3 linked regions of the Drosophila melanogaster genome follow. The protein of the gene in region 2 interacts with the protein of the main gene of each other region in a pairwise test. Each region holds a gene or a part of one and is shown on either strand. Other genes may lie near its edges.

What was found.
Region 1: the proteins of qsm (region 2) and Ptp4E interact in a two-hybrid assay, tested with the Drosophila melanogaster proteins (one large-scale study listed by BioGRID).
Region 3: the proteins of qsm (region 2) and NKCC interact in a two-hybrid assay, tested with the Drosophila melanogaster proteins (one large-scale study listed by BioGRID).

What each region holds. Positions count from the first base shown.
Region 1 is NC_004354.4:4,937,364-4,942,183, reverse strand, and holds the start of Ptp4E (protein tyrosine phosphatase 4E), read right to left. Parts: upstream 3,057-4,820; 5' UTR 2,984-3,056; exon of another isoform or gene 2,880-2,983; intron 2,748-2,879; exon of another isoform or gene 2,652-2,747; intron 2,604-2,651; exon of another isoform or gene 2,509-2,603; intron 1,763-2,508; 5' UTR 1,538-1,762; coding exon 1,337-1,537; intron 1-1,336.
Region 2 is NT_033778.4:20,580,579-20,585,621, forward strand, and holds the start of qsm (quasimodo), read right to left. Parts: upstream 3,014-5,043; 5' UTR 2,772-3,013; intron 1,555-2,771; exon of another isoform or gene 1,452-1,554; intron 1,074-1,451; 5' UTR 1,056-1,073; coding exon 983-1,055; intron 1-982.
Region 3 is NT_033777.3:5,499,594-5,504,586, forward strand, and holds the start of NKCC (sodium potassium chloride cotransporter), read right to left. Parts: upstream 3,110-4,993; 5' UTR 2,704-3,109; coding exon 2,444-2,703; intron 1-2,443.

The sequences.
Region 1 (4,820 bases), on a different chromosome or scaffold from region 2:
CCTGCGATCCGCAATCGCGGCAATGCCCAGATAAAATGAAAGCCAAAGTCACAGTGCCAGAAACACGTGAGTTATGAATATGAAGCATGTGGAAAGAAAAAAAAAAAACAAAACTAAGACGGCAGTGCATTCAAGTTATTGTGGCCAAAGAAACTGCGAAATCAGGGACAACTTTATTGTTGTTGTGATCATCTGAGATACAAAGAATACACAAACTGCAGCAGCAAAGATACAAGTTTTGCCATCTATTTATTAAGGCTTTGATTTCTATAGTTTTTTTTATTTTTTATTATTTCAAGCTTAGAAACAGTTTACGACTATGCTGGGCTATCTCGGGGAATCGCTCGATAAGCGTATTGAAATTTTTTCAGAGTGAGGAAGTTGCGATGGACAGCGTCATCAGAACCAACCTTGATTTTAACTTGCGTTCGCTTTTTAGTGTTTTCATCATTTTTTTTTTTTTTTTAACTTTTTACTTGTTGCGTTGCGATGGTTGGGATTTTGTTTTTATTGTCTTTCGTTTGCGCTGAAACAATGCGACAACAATGCAAAACGAAACGAAATGAAACGAGTTTTGTGAACGAGGTAAAAAAAAAAACTCAGGCAATAAAACAAGGAATAATCACGGGAATAAGCCCACAAATCACCCAACAAAATCAAATTTAATCACCGGATTCATCACCTGTGTGTGTCATTTCAAATTGACTTGGGCCTAAACTTCTAATTTGCGCTTCTAAATTGCCTTTAAAGATTTCGAGCTATGCAATCAATAGTTTGACTACCGAAGTTTGATCAGATAACAAGTAAACCTGGTTTGAAATATTGAACACATTAAATATTTGTATCTCACTATTCGATTTTATATGAAATCTGGATTTATCGTAATTTTAGTTCAATTTTAGTGAGCGGTTGAGCGAGTTCATATTAAAATAACATAACACCCAGCCAAAATCACAACTAGAACCGGCCAAACGAGTTCCTAAAACGCACTCAGCGAATCAAAAACCCAGTTAAGACATTTTCTGCCACTAAATGTGGAAAATAGTTGGCTTGTAATTTTCGAAAAAAAAAGAATCAATAAAAACAGAAAAAAACATTTCAAAATAATTAGCAAATTGTCTGTGTTGCTGGCCAATCTATGAAATCTGCATTGTAATTAGTTAAAATATGAATATTTTTGACAACCCTGCGCCATCCATTAGGAGTCCTCAGAATTTTCCCAACGAATTTCCCCCAAATCATAGAGGTAACTAACTTTGCGGGTTTACCTGTCGCTTTATCTTTATCACTATGTTTTGTTGTTGTTTCTTTTCCTTCATTTTTTTTTCTCACTCACCTGAGCCAAAAAAATTGTCAAAATGCCAACAACAAGCCACACGAAATGTTTTTGTTGTTGTTGTGAATTTTGGTAGTAGTGGTGGTGGTTGTGGCGTTGTTTTTGTAATTGCTGCCGCTTTCGTCCATGTGTTTGTATTTGTATTTGTTGCTGCTGATGATGTGCCCGTAATTGTTGTTGTTTTCGCGTGGCACAGTCCATTTTCAAGTACAGTAAAACCCAATGATGGTCGAAGGTTTCGCAGATTGCTGGTTTTACTTTTCAAGCGGGGATGGGCGGTGTTTTGCGCTTATTGTTTTACACATGTATGTACGTTTGTATTGCATATACATTTCTGTTGGCCGTTACATGGTCATTTGTTTGTATTGCACACGCATATTACGTTTCCTCTATTACTTAATTAATATTGCACTTGTATTGCACTCTCTGTAACGGGAAACGGGAGAGCAATGATGAGCGCGATCGAGAGCGAGAGCGGCAGATGTGGGCCCATTGTAATTGTTGTTTTCTAATACGATTTCCATTAACAATCGCCGGCTAATGCACGAAAAATGATTTATGTCCAAGCGAATTTGTAACGGCACATGCGTGCGGGAGAAGAAGAAGCAGAAGCGAAAGCTGCAGGTGAAGAGCAACACTGATCGTGGAGGGGGAAGCGGCTGGCTATGGAAATGTGAGCCACGCACAAGTACAAGTGCGTGTGCATGAGCGCTGCAAGTGTGTGATTTGATGCAGACACACATGCATACATAATCACACTCACACGCATTTGTGGCTGTAACGGCGCTTCACTACAAGTACAGTGGGCCCTCCCTGCTATTGAACACGCGAGCATGTAAATCTAACGAGATTTAGAAGTTAATATATGAAATGTAAATTCAATGCAAACATATAACGAATTTGGTTAATATGCCCGACAAAGTTTCGATTAGCGAGTCTTCACTGTGGCATTACAGTTTGCTACCGTTGTTATTGTTGCTGCATTACGAAATATCCAGCAATTAACAGACAATTGTTGTTGCCGCCGCTTTTTGCACTTCATATTTGCACTACCACTAGCTGAGCAGGTGTGTGTGTAGGTGTATGTGTAAATTACAGGTACTAGGGTAATATAAATTACAATAGTAGGCGGTTAATGGTGATTGCATTAAATGCTAATTGCACGCATTTACTTTTACTCCACCCTTGCTCTCCCACTCGCTCTCTCTGCCACACACACACTCGGACACACTGATGCAATGACTAAATGCGGCGGCGCAACGGCGTCGACGTTGGCAGCGACGGCATGGACGAAAAAAAAACTAATTCACTTGACTGTTGCTCTTTTTCTTCTGCTTCCTCTCCTCTCCACCCTCTTCATCCGCTTCTTCTTGTTTTCGTTGCACACCAATTTAAAACAAACTAGTCACGTTTCGTTTTAAGCGGAAAACATAAAAACAGAATATAAACTTCTGGCGCGTCGGCGCATTTGTTTAAAAAAAAAGAAGTCACAAACAAAAAATTTAGGCTTTAGTAACCGTTATTATGCAGAAAATAAACTGACACTTTTATTGACCGACAACTTGTTACTGACAAGAAAAAAAATAAGAAAAATTGGTTGCGAAAAGGAATCGGCCACGACAAATTGAAGCGAATGACTGCACGCACTTTTCACCACTGTTCATCAATGAATTTCCACATTTTCTGCCTTTTTGGACGACCGTCGCTTAACGAATGAATATAAATACAATACAAAGGCGTGACCGCCGCGCAGTGCTGCCGAAAAACAGAAAAAAAAACCCAAAAATACTGAATAAATACCACATATTTTACACAACACAGGGTCACTCATAATTTATTTAAAATTGTTAAATTTCTTAAAGAATATATTGTTAATATTATATGACATGTTTTGCTCATGTTTGACCAAATTTGATGTTTCGTTGATTCGGAAAGCGAAATTTAATTCATGCAGTTGATATTCAACAAGTATTCGTGCAGTCACACTTTGCAATTTCAAAAATTGCAATTTGGTAATTATTTCCAATGGTATTATTATAACTTTGTCATTTTTATTACTAGTCTTCTAATAGAAAATACAATTTATTTTATATATTGATATATTTAGTAAATAAAATAATATTTTGAGCACTTGTTAAAAATGTATCCATGTTTTCATAATAAACAGAACACACCAACTCAAACAAATTTGAAAATATCTAAAATTCGTTTATATTTGCAGAGAAGGAAATACCAGGTAATAAGTGAATTAAACTGTTTTTACTGAACTTTTTACAAAAATTTTATAATTATTTTTTTATTTTTTTTTAGATATGCAATATGAAAATTATATCAAGCAAGCTTAAGAAAGTTATATGAGCACCGGCACTCAAGGCTCACAGCTCGTAGAGTAAGTAGCTATCTTATGGTATTATTATATACAGGTTCATTTTTATTTGGTTTTAAAATACATATATCTCTGTATATATAACAAGTTTTTTTTCGTAGAACCTCAGAATAATCTCGAAGTGGTTTTGTGTGGGGTTAGCTAAGACGTTTTGAGACCAAAAAATTTATTAAATTATATATCAACAAAATTTAAATTAAACGTATTCGTAAATTAAATAAAATGTAAAACAGGAGTATGACCAGCTAGCTGTATTCAGTATTTTTGTTAAATTTAATATATTTCTTTAATTCTGTTAGGTAGCTGTAGCGTTAACAGCACTAATCGATAAATTGCCGAAGCTGTTAGGAGCTAACATACAGTCACTAGCAGAACGTCAAGTTGATGTCAGTAGCAATCAAAAGTGAAAAGGAAGCGAAAAAGTGCATTTTAAACTGAAAATAAAGTGTGATAAATAACAGTTGTAAAATCGAGCGGCTCAACCAAGGTAAAGATTGCAAGTACTATTTGATTGTCACAACATATCATATATGTTAAATATGTAACATATTTAAGGAGCAACACAAGCAACATACAACTGTGGTGAATGTATCTGTGTAAATATTGCCTTGGTGTGCGTGCAGTCGGCTTCATTTTGTTTTGCTGTTGACCTTCGCAGATCGAAAATGAGTTTAAATCGAATTCGTAAAAAAAAAGCCGCTTGAACTCTTCCAATGTCAAAAGCAGCGTTCAGAAACTGCGGCAATTGTGCGAAAAACACCAGAAAATAACGCCATCAATAAGTAGCACACAATACATGCAAATGTGTTTTTTTTTCTTGTGTCTTTTGCGCGCGCTTTCTCTGCAAATGTATTACTTAACAGTCGCTCTCTACGTCCCCATATCTCTCTCTCTCTCTTTCTCGCTCTAGAAATATAAACTAAACATTTTCTGCCTTTTTACTTTCTTTTTCCGGCTTTTTCTTGTTTTTGCCTGGCTATTACGGCTCATCTGTGTGTGTGTGTGTGTATGTGTATGCAGATACCGTTATGAGAGCGAAACCTGTTTCACATTCTTATGAGAATTCCAATCAAAGTCTTTCACTTTCCGTAGCTTGTT
Region 2 (5,043 bases):
TATATATTTATTTGTTTGTTTGTAGCCCGCGAGAGAGATGTTTTCGTATCGGCCTTATGTATTTTTAGGCTGCATCTTAATTCCCGGGACCAGTTCGCCTACACAAGTCGTCGATTGTCGCCCGTTTTGGCTGTATTTCGCCTTTAATTCTTCATTTTTTCTCGCGTAATATTTTTTTGCAGTTAATTCTCCTTTCTGATTGCCTTTTAATAAGACAACCCCAGCCGATTCTTGACCAGTTGAGTGTGGGCTTTATTATGAGTACTGCCCCTTTTTTTCGCTTTGTTTAAGTATTTTTCTCGTCGATATTATCTTGTTGGCTGGACTGTGCTTTGTTTTTTATTTCTTTGTAATATCTTATTTTTTTTTGTTTTGGCGTGTCATGTTGCCTTCCCAGCACTTGTGTTTGTGTAGGTGTCTTGTTTGGTCTTTTGTTTTTTCGCCGCGCTCGCTTGATAGTTTGTTTAGTCGTTTGTTGTCTTGGCTGTTAAAGGCAACTTGCAGGGGCAGGCAAGTTAATGACTAATGTGTTAGGGCTTTCGAGGGATATATGCCTTATACAATTTAGCATTAATATATGGCAGGAAGCGTAAGAACGAGTGAGTGAATCATGACAGGGCCGCGCTGCCAAACTTCATTAAGTCGCCGCAAGTTCGTTGCCTCAGTCATTCGTTTTTTTACCAAAAAAAAAGCTCCAGCACGCCCCCGACAAAACCGAAGATCGTTTTATTCGACCATCACTCCAAATGGCCACAAATTGTGTGTGTATGTGCACTTCACGACCAAAAACGAGGTCACTTTGTCGGTTTTTCAACAAAATCGAAAAGAAAAAATAAATACTTATTGTGTTTCATTACGCGAATGACATCATGGCAGCGCTATGGGAGCTTCTCAAGCTTTTTAGCCTTGCACTCCCCGATCTTAACTCTGATATTTATATTTAAATTTTTGCGTATAGTATATAGATAGAAAAAGTGCTTACCTTTGGCCTGGGCTAATCCGCAGAATAGGGCCGCCAGCCACAGAGAGCGCCACATTTGCATTGAGAGCAGCATTTTCCAAAATTTCCGGATCTAATTGGTCGGGGTAGAAACGGAAAGACAAACGGCATATTATTACAAGCATTTCGAACGAACCGAAGCCGAAGCAACGGCACATGCTCCACAAGCGGGCCAACATTTTATTTGTTATTTGTATTCTTGGCCTGGCCTTTTTGACGTTTTCACAGACACAATTCATATATGTAGGTACCATAACATATATATGTACCGCATCGCAAACACACACAGCGAGTTATTATGAAACAAAGCCAGAAGAGAATGCCCGTCAAGTGGCTTGCGGCGACCGCTCAACAAATCAAAAACCAATGACAACGGCAAATAAAAAACGAAACGAGCCGCGAACCACACACATATCACACAAATTCACACAAAACTCGGAGCGGGTCTTACTTGACGGCTGCAATATGGGGAAAACTCGGAACTCGAGACTCGAAACCACACCGAAGAGCACACCACACGTCCAAGCTGTTCGCTAGTCGCCAGGCAACTGAGGCTCAGCTCGGCTGCAACTTCATTACCTCGGGAATCGAGAGCCGGCGTATAGAGATGCTGACTCAGTTTCAGAGCAGAAGTCGTTCTTATATGGCAGAGAGTGCAAAACTATAGTGAAAGCACTCAATGTTAACCAATTGGTTAATTACCCAAAAGAAATGTAATAAGTACGTATGTATATAAGAAGATAAGTGTGCCGTTTTATCCGAATTATTGCAACATAAATCTATATGCATTTTTATTATATTATGCTTTCATTGGTAAAAAAAAAAATCCTTAGAAAATATTTTAAGAATTTTGAATAAGATAGTGTTGAATAATTATTTAACAAACGGAGTTTTCAAAAGTTAGCTATAAACTAGCTAGTGAACCAACGCTCTTAGGCATTAGAGCGTGGACAGTGGGGAAAAATGCTAAGGCGCCATCTAGCCCCTGGCTGTTCACAGTGCATAAATAAAGCCGGCAATTACGAAAGTGCTACATTACAATTTATGGATATACTTGAATACATTTAGATAAGCAGAGCACAATTAAAATGACCCACTGTAAGTCGCTCTCTCGCACGGAGCATCTCTGTCGCACGGCGAAAAAGAGAGCGACTTTAGCAAGTTAGCTTAACCGAGAGGCTGTAAAATACGGTAAAAGGATCGCTCTCACTACCGCTCTTTTCCGCTCTCTGCCGGAGATAACAATCAGCCGGTAAGTTTGTATAATTTTTTTTTTTGTCCCATGACAAAAACTGAGAAATTGTGGGAGCAAAATCTTACAAGCAATTATGCAATCTCGTCTCCGGCTTTTTTGTTGCGTTTGCTGTTGTTGTTTTTGTTGCACTCGCTATTGTTGTCAAAACAAACATTTATGTAATTGCGCTCGCTGTCAGCACGAACTGCCGGTTCGTTCTCAACGGCCACAGATGAGAACAGGGAAGTAATAGTTTAAAATGAGCTAAATGCAGCAGCTGTTATGGATATTTTCCCTATATATTTCGCTATATGTACTAACGGTACACTTACACTTCCGCCAAAACTAAAACCGTTCTTCAGCTGGTCATCTACTGCATTTTCCAGAGCCCAAGGCGCAGCCCGTGAACCCAATTTCACACCTCTTGATTTCGCGCGTGCTTGGGCATTATTCATGATTCTCCTACTTGTTAGTTTTCCAAACCAATGGCCATCCCATCATTAAACGGATTAGAAACATTTATTTGTGCATACTTACTGGCCATACACTACTGGCCCTCTTGAAAAACGGTAAATGACGTGCAAAATAAAGGCAACCAGCCGAGCGCACTAATTTAATTTGCTAAATTCAACTCAAAATGCCTTATTATTACTTTGTTGCACCAGTTGTACGGGAATATTTAGCTCAAGCATCGGCCAATATTAAGTTAAGCACAAATTGTAATAATTAAACACTTGCCACTTGCAAAAGAAATTAACCAAGTTCCCCGTTCCTCTTTGCACACAATTTGCCGATCTGGCAAGTCTGTGACGAAGCGAAAGAGGAATGGGGAAGAACCGCAACAGCTGTCATCTCGCTCACACCTAACGGATTGCGGATTTCCGAGAAAAGCGCAACTGGATTTTTATAATTTTACGATTTCACAGATTTAAATGTTGAAACATTGGACATTTAAAGGCCGGGAAGTGTGCAATATAGCTAAGATATAAATACACTGACACACGACCCGCCCTGCAAATGTTTATGTTTTCGCAAACACTTTTTTTTCACTTTTCGATGTTAATTCTTGATATTTTCAGGCCGGTGAATGTGCAATATATTCGACAAATGAAATATTAACCCATATACCGTCCGAAAAATGATCTAGAAATTTCGATTTTTCACCGTCTTGCCGCCTATTGCAAGGAGTTTAAAAACACAACAAAACTAATTACTTTGCTCATAAAATGATTCGTTTTAAAGTAATCAGGCCGTCTCAAGTGCAATACTAGTTAAAAAATGCAGAATTGCCCTTGTGACGAACCAAATCGCTTCAAACTTAATTCACATTTCTAATAATTTAAAAATGCTAATTGTTAGTATAAGGCAGTTGCTAACATTTTCGGGCTGTGAAAAGTGCAATACTCAATGTTAAAAAAACAGTACTGCCCCCATCCGCAGCAGAAAATTGTTGGCTAGAACGATGTCGGGTAATACGTTTCAAACGACCACTCGCGACGACTCTCGGAATTTGAATGCCGGGGGCAAAGAACGCAAAGAAGATCCCGAAAAGGAAAAATCACAAAACGGGACACAATGGAATGCAGAGGTTTAGAGCGGGATGACAGTATGAACTTCGAACTCTCAAAACATCCAAAGTTTTTGCTCTACTCTACAACTTTCGGGAGAGAGAATATTCAAAATGGCGGCAACGCGAGGAAATCGAAGGAATTCGCGAGATACACATTTTTTTTTAACACTTAAATATGTATGTACATATTTTAATGAATCGTTAGCTTAGCTCGTGAACTTTTATAATAGCAAACAGAATACCATATTTTTTTGCCCTTCGATTTACTATTTTGAGTTGATGAGTGATGAAATATCACATTTTTGTGTTTTTTTTTTCAATCTGTGCACTTTGGTGTAAGTTTTCTGAAAATAAGTAAGACGGGAATGCCAGTTTTGTAAAAAACACAAAAATAAGCATAACAGCCTTTACTATTTTAAGGAGATTATGGCAAATGTGAAAAAAATATCACATTTTGAATTTGTACACTTCGGTGTTAGTTTTCTAAAAATAGGTAAAAGACGGTTATGCCAATTTTGTAAAACAAACAAAAACAAGCATAAATATCACATTTTGTCTTTTCTAAAAATAATTAAAATTGGGTTTTCTAATTTTTTAAAACACTCAAATATAAGCATAACAGACTTTTTCCTATTTTGAGATTATGGCAAATTTGCTTAAATATCACATATTTGTCTTTTTTTTTTTGATTCCGTACACTTAGGTGTTAGTTTTCTAAAAATATATTAAGTATGTTACACAGATTTTGTAAAACACCTAAAATATGCAAAACGGACCTAAATAATTTTAGAAAAAACCAAGTTGAGTGGCGATTTCTAATGCAAAACCAAAACTTTCCAAACTACAACTTTAATAGGACGTTAAAATATGTATTAATAGGTGTAGTTGGGAAAAGCCTGAAACTGCAGTGATAGTTTTGATATCCTACGCAGGTAACTTTCTCGAAGTACTTAGTACCAGAAACGTGTACTTTACATAAACATAAAAAATAACACTTTGCTGATACCAGGCACTTGGGAAAATCATGTCTAGATTTGTCAACATTTTAAATGGCTTACCAAGAGATGTAAGCTCCTTCTCCGTCGACGGTCAAATCGAAAAGAACGGACTGCTGAATTCCATTGAACTCGAAATCTTTGTGACAGTGCTAGAAGATGACCTTTGAAATCAAGTGGGAATGGGCCGCACTCAAACTCACATATGCAATAAGTGTGTTTCTTTGTGTGTGCGAAAGCGCTC
Region 3 (4,993 bases), on a different chromosome or scaffold from region 2:
TTTTATCTAGAATAATGCCTCTGTTTGAAGTGACATATTGTAATCGGTAAATTTGCTGATTACCCACTAACCCAGTTCATCAAGACGTCTTGATGCCTTGAAAATCCTGATTAAGATGGAAAGTCTGAATATTCTCTAGAGATACACTAGCACCTCTGATAAATTACAATAAAGTGTAATCCTCACTTTCTTATTCTATGTATTCGATCCCCATTGCTTTTAGATCGCCGCTCGGCTTGTGAATAACTTATGAGTGTTTATTAATTGTAGACAGAATCTGTGGAGGGCGTTTTTCATTGTGCTACTAAATAAATTGCAAGCATTCAGCAAAGAGAATCGGACGTCTTGTGGCTTTTCCTTCGATTCCATTTCCATTTTCACTTCCAATTCATTTGCCAGACGACGGAGATACAGATACATTCGGCTAAGATACACATACATTCCTCACGACTATGTTTATGTACTATAGCATGTAAATATTCTCTAGATGCTCGTTCATGACGTATATGGGGGTCCAGTCCAGGCCATCGAGGGGCATTGATTGCTGGCCGGTTTCGTTGGGAATCAGCTGGTCCGAGTTAGTTCAACACAATTGGAGCCGGGCAGAGTTCGATCAATTGAACTCATTTGCGATCGCACTCTCCGAACGACAGTCGTAAATTTATTTGTTGACACGCTCATCCTTTTGGAGAAAGCCATCTGAGCTGCGAGCTCCGGAACTCGCGGAATGCAAGTGATCGCTAGCTCCGATGGCGATCCTTGTGCCAAAAACGGCTAATATACCCGACGTGCTCAGAATTTAGATAAGTTATTATATTATTTTTTGGCGGGCTGATGATGTAACTTGCTTGCCGTGTGCAAATTTTCCGGGAAAACAAATCATTGGCTGTCATTCTTAATCCGGAGGTCTCCCAATTTTCGGACAGATCTTTGGCAGCTTTTTATTGCATTTAATTTGAGCACGAGATTGCGTATTATCGAAAGTGGAACAATTGCAGCAATTAATTCGGGGGCTTTCGACGGGGTCTGGGTCGAAATCGTTAATTTGGGCCAACAGCCAACTGTCATGTGGCAAATTTGAATAATCAGAAGTGGAAAAAATTCGAATTAATCCAGAAGCAAGTTAATTTGGAAGTGATCTGTGACCTTTTTTTGAAAGTGCTTCATGTCGGAATGTTCGTCATGTACTTGAAATCATTCACATGAACTGTATGTTTTCAAACGGGTATTTATATTTGCCATTCCTATTTAATCACACAATTAGCTTTTAATAGCAAGTGAAACATATTAGGTGAACCTACCCTAATATTCTACAATCATGTATTTATATATACTAGTATAAACTGAGATTGAACCAAGTGAAAGTGGAGTGCATCAATCGGACATTAAGTGCATCCAACTTCGGACAATGTTGCTCTTGTTGAGCCTTTCGTTCTGTCATTATTTTGGGTTTATGTGCCAAACGTGATTACAATAAATTGGCATAATGTAACCTTCGTTTCGGTTATGCAAACGGAATGTTTTCGTTTCGCTTTTCATTCACATATCACACAATTTTGACGTGTTTTATTGTCTGTTTTAAGGCCCAGTACAATGGCATTTATTTATTGTGCACTGCAAACAGACTGAGTTTAAACATGTGTTCGCACCTCAATTGAAACTCATTACGGAGAGTAAAATTAATGATTAATTTGCTTTGGGAAAACTCTAATTAATTGTTGTATTATTCCTAAATTGTTTCAGACGCGAGTGTAGACACCACGTGCGCACTAATGGATGGAAATAATGTATCTCAAGCTCCTAAAAGGTATCAGCTGAATCGCAACACTTTTATCTTGAGAGTAAATCCCCTCAATCGAAGCAATTATCAAAAATCCAACAACTTGTAAAATCGGATGTTGAAAATGAAAATTTATTTTCAACACGCTAACCGCTGAGAAAACAGAAGAGATTGTGTCTTTTATATTTTCTCTTAATTTACATCTTAAACAAAACTTCCATCAGATGTCGACTATAAGATCAAAGCGTAAAAATGTTTTTTTAATTCAAGTTCTATTATTATTTTAGGTAAAAACACGAAGATGAGAACCTGTAAGTAAAATATAATGTGAAATACAAATTAATTGAGCTACAAAATTCCCCAAAATATGAATAGTTGTAAAACCATTGCATACTATGACATAGGGTTTCCATTCCTTTAGCGAAAAATCCTAACTGGATAAATCGTTGATAATATCAATATTCAAATTCAAAAACAATATTATTAACGACGAGAGTCCAACCGAAGAATATATATATATATATATTTTCCGATAACTTCAATTAACAACAAAATACCATTGATTAGAAACGACGTTCCGGTTTTTCCACCTGTGCCGACACATTTTTAAAGCAAATCGCTCGCATTTTAGCCGGGAATGCGTTAAATTCAAATTAAACTTACTTTGTTAGCTGGGCGAGACTAAACTTGCGCTCGGCGTCCGATTTGCGCAGGAAGTTACCGAATCCGCGGAAGGAGAGCCGGGAGCTGCGGCGGTTCTCGCCCGTCTCCCCCGAAGCCTTGGGATGCAGGTGGTTTTCGTTGCTGGTGGGCGGAAGTGGGTGGGCTGCGTCCGTCTGGTCGGATTCAGCTGATCTAGCCTCGCCATCGTAGCCGGCGTTCGCGGTGCCGTTCACCTTTGAGATCTGGAAGCGATCGGCCATGGTGTGGCTCTGGGGAGTCCTGCACTTGGTTGCTCAGTGGACCCTGGACACAGATTCTTATCGATTGCACGGGCACCTTGACGCTAGCTAACGAGCCGAGCACATTTGCATTTCACACACTTGGCAGGATGAGAGCGCCCCACTGGGAGTGGATGATATCACAAGGAGCGCGAATCGAAGGACCGAGTTTACACGTCCGACTGCGCTTGACCCTCAACGACGATTGTCCGGATATTCAGAACGCATCGACCACGTCGGCTTGTTTTGGGTGTTTCGGGTTCGGTTTCGGATTTGAATTCGGGTTCGTTTTTATATATGTTTCTGAATCTCACGGGAAACACTCCGATGATTTCTCCGTGGCGGCTGGGCAATTGCAACTTATCGCGCCGACTGTCGCACGGCGTTTGAGCGTTGTCAAGTGTTTACCGCCCGATTATTATGGCTTTTTGCGCCAGTCAGCTGCTCCTCTGCTTCCGCTGTGCTGTGGATTTGGCAGCGGCTGCTTCAGTTCGAACCAACTTGGCGCCCGCGTGGTGAGTTTCCAACAAGTGTTCGGGGCGAACTCACCACAAGAGCGCTCTCTGTGCGGAGCGACGAGGAAAGCAGCGCGATTCGGGAAAGAACCGTTGGCCAGGAGGTCCGACGGCGGGATACCCGCTCTTTAGAGGGTCTAGCGGGCGTATACGTAATGTTGCAACGCATACACAGAAAGTAGTTCGAGGTGCAGAGTACAGGGGAAAGAAAAATTCTTTGTTATGATAGTTAATTGGTTAATTTTACGTAAAGAATTTTATAATATGAAAATACTATGCGTTCTGTTCAAAGTTCCTTAAAATTTTAATCTTCATTTTAGAGCTTACACAAAATATTCATGGTAAAATTTTGAAACTTTAGAAATTTTAACCAACTAATACTTATCGGATTATTACAACATTTTTTCGTTCTGGAAAAGGACTTTACACTGAGAATATTTTTTGTTTATTTTGGGTAAAAAACAAAACAAATTTTATAGAAATATTTTATATTTATTTTTCATAAATATTTCAAACCTTAACAACTTTTCAAATTTATAAGCGTACTTGATAAGTAGTAGAATCAAAGATTTTGCTCTATATTAACATTTTTGTTGTCGACAACGCAAACGAGATTAGCGAATCCAATCTTATTATTATCGTTCCATTTCAGATGACTGTCATTTAGCCACACAGTTTAAACGCAGAGATGATTGTGTGTTGATATTCAATCAAACTGACATTTTATATATTTTGTTTTTCCCCAAATATTAAAGTTGTTATTGTTTATCTTTGTTTCGTTTTATTCAAAGGCAAAAAGGCCTTAACAAATAAAACTAAAATATGCATATTTCCCACTCATTCATATTCGTTTAACTTCTGTTGAATAAAACGTGATGTGCTCTGTGGGTCACAGCTGAAGACGAACCTAAACTAGCGTCGAAGGAGCTGCGTTTCTGTGGTCCTAAATAAAAACATTATCACTTGCTACAACACCATTTTGTCGCTTTGATTCGGGTAAGAGTTTAGCACCTTGGCACCTTGGTTCGTGGATACGATTCGTTTGCGATTGCGGCAATTAGCTCGTTTCGTTTGTTTACCGAATTCATTCCATACTCGCGACTCTCCACACTCATTCACAATCGTTCGCGCACTAAAACTTAGACACTCGTAACATCTTTACTATCAGCCAAGTCAAGTTAAGTTAAGCCCGACAGCAACCACAATAAGGGGGCAAGAGCACGCGAATAACCCCCTTAATCGAATTAAATTCGGTTTTATCTGGTTTGATTGGCCGGCTGCTTGGCTGGATGGTTGGATAGCTGGTTGACTGGTTGGTTGGTGGGACTGCTTTTTGCTTTTTGCTCTGCGTCACCGAGGGGGATTTCACGAAGAGCCGATCGTGGCGAAAAGAGTTATTTTTACCAAACCCAGTGAAGGTTCCCTCCCCCGAACCATCCCCCAAAGTCGGAGGAACGACGTTCTTTTGTTCCCTCCAGTGCTAAATCTCATTCTTGGAGTTTTCACTTTGGTTCATGAATGACATTTTGCAAATTTTGGATAGATGGCCAATCGAACTTTCAAAGTAATATATCAAAATATCAATAATAAACAAAATTATTAAATTGAATATTAATTATATCATATTTACAGCTGGCCGGTTTCGGTAATTCGGAACATCTAATCGTCTAAATTATACGCCCAATTTCGCGACTCATTGTTTTTCAATTCTACTGGTTAACCCCAAAGTGTTAAACATTTTTGAATAAATTATTTCA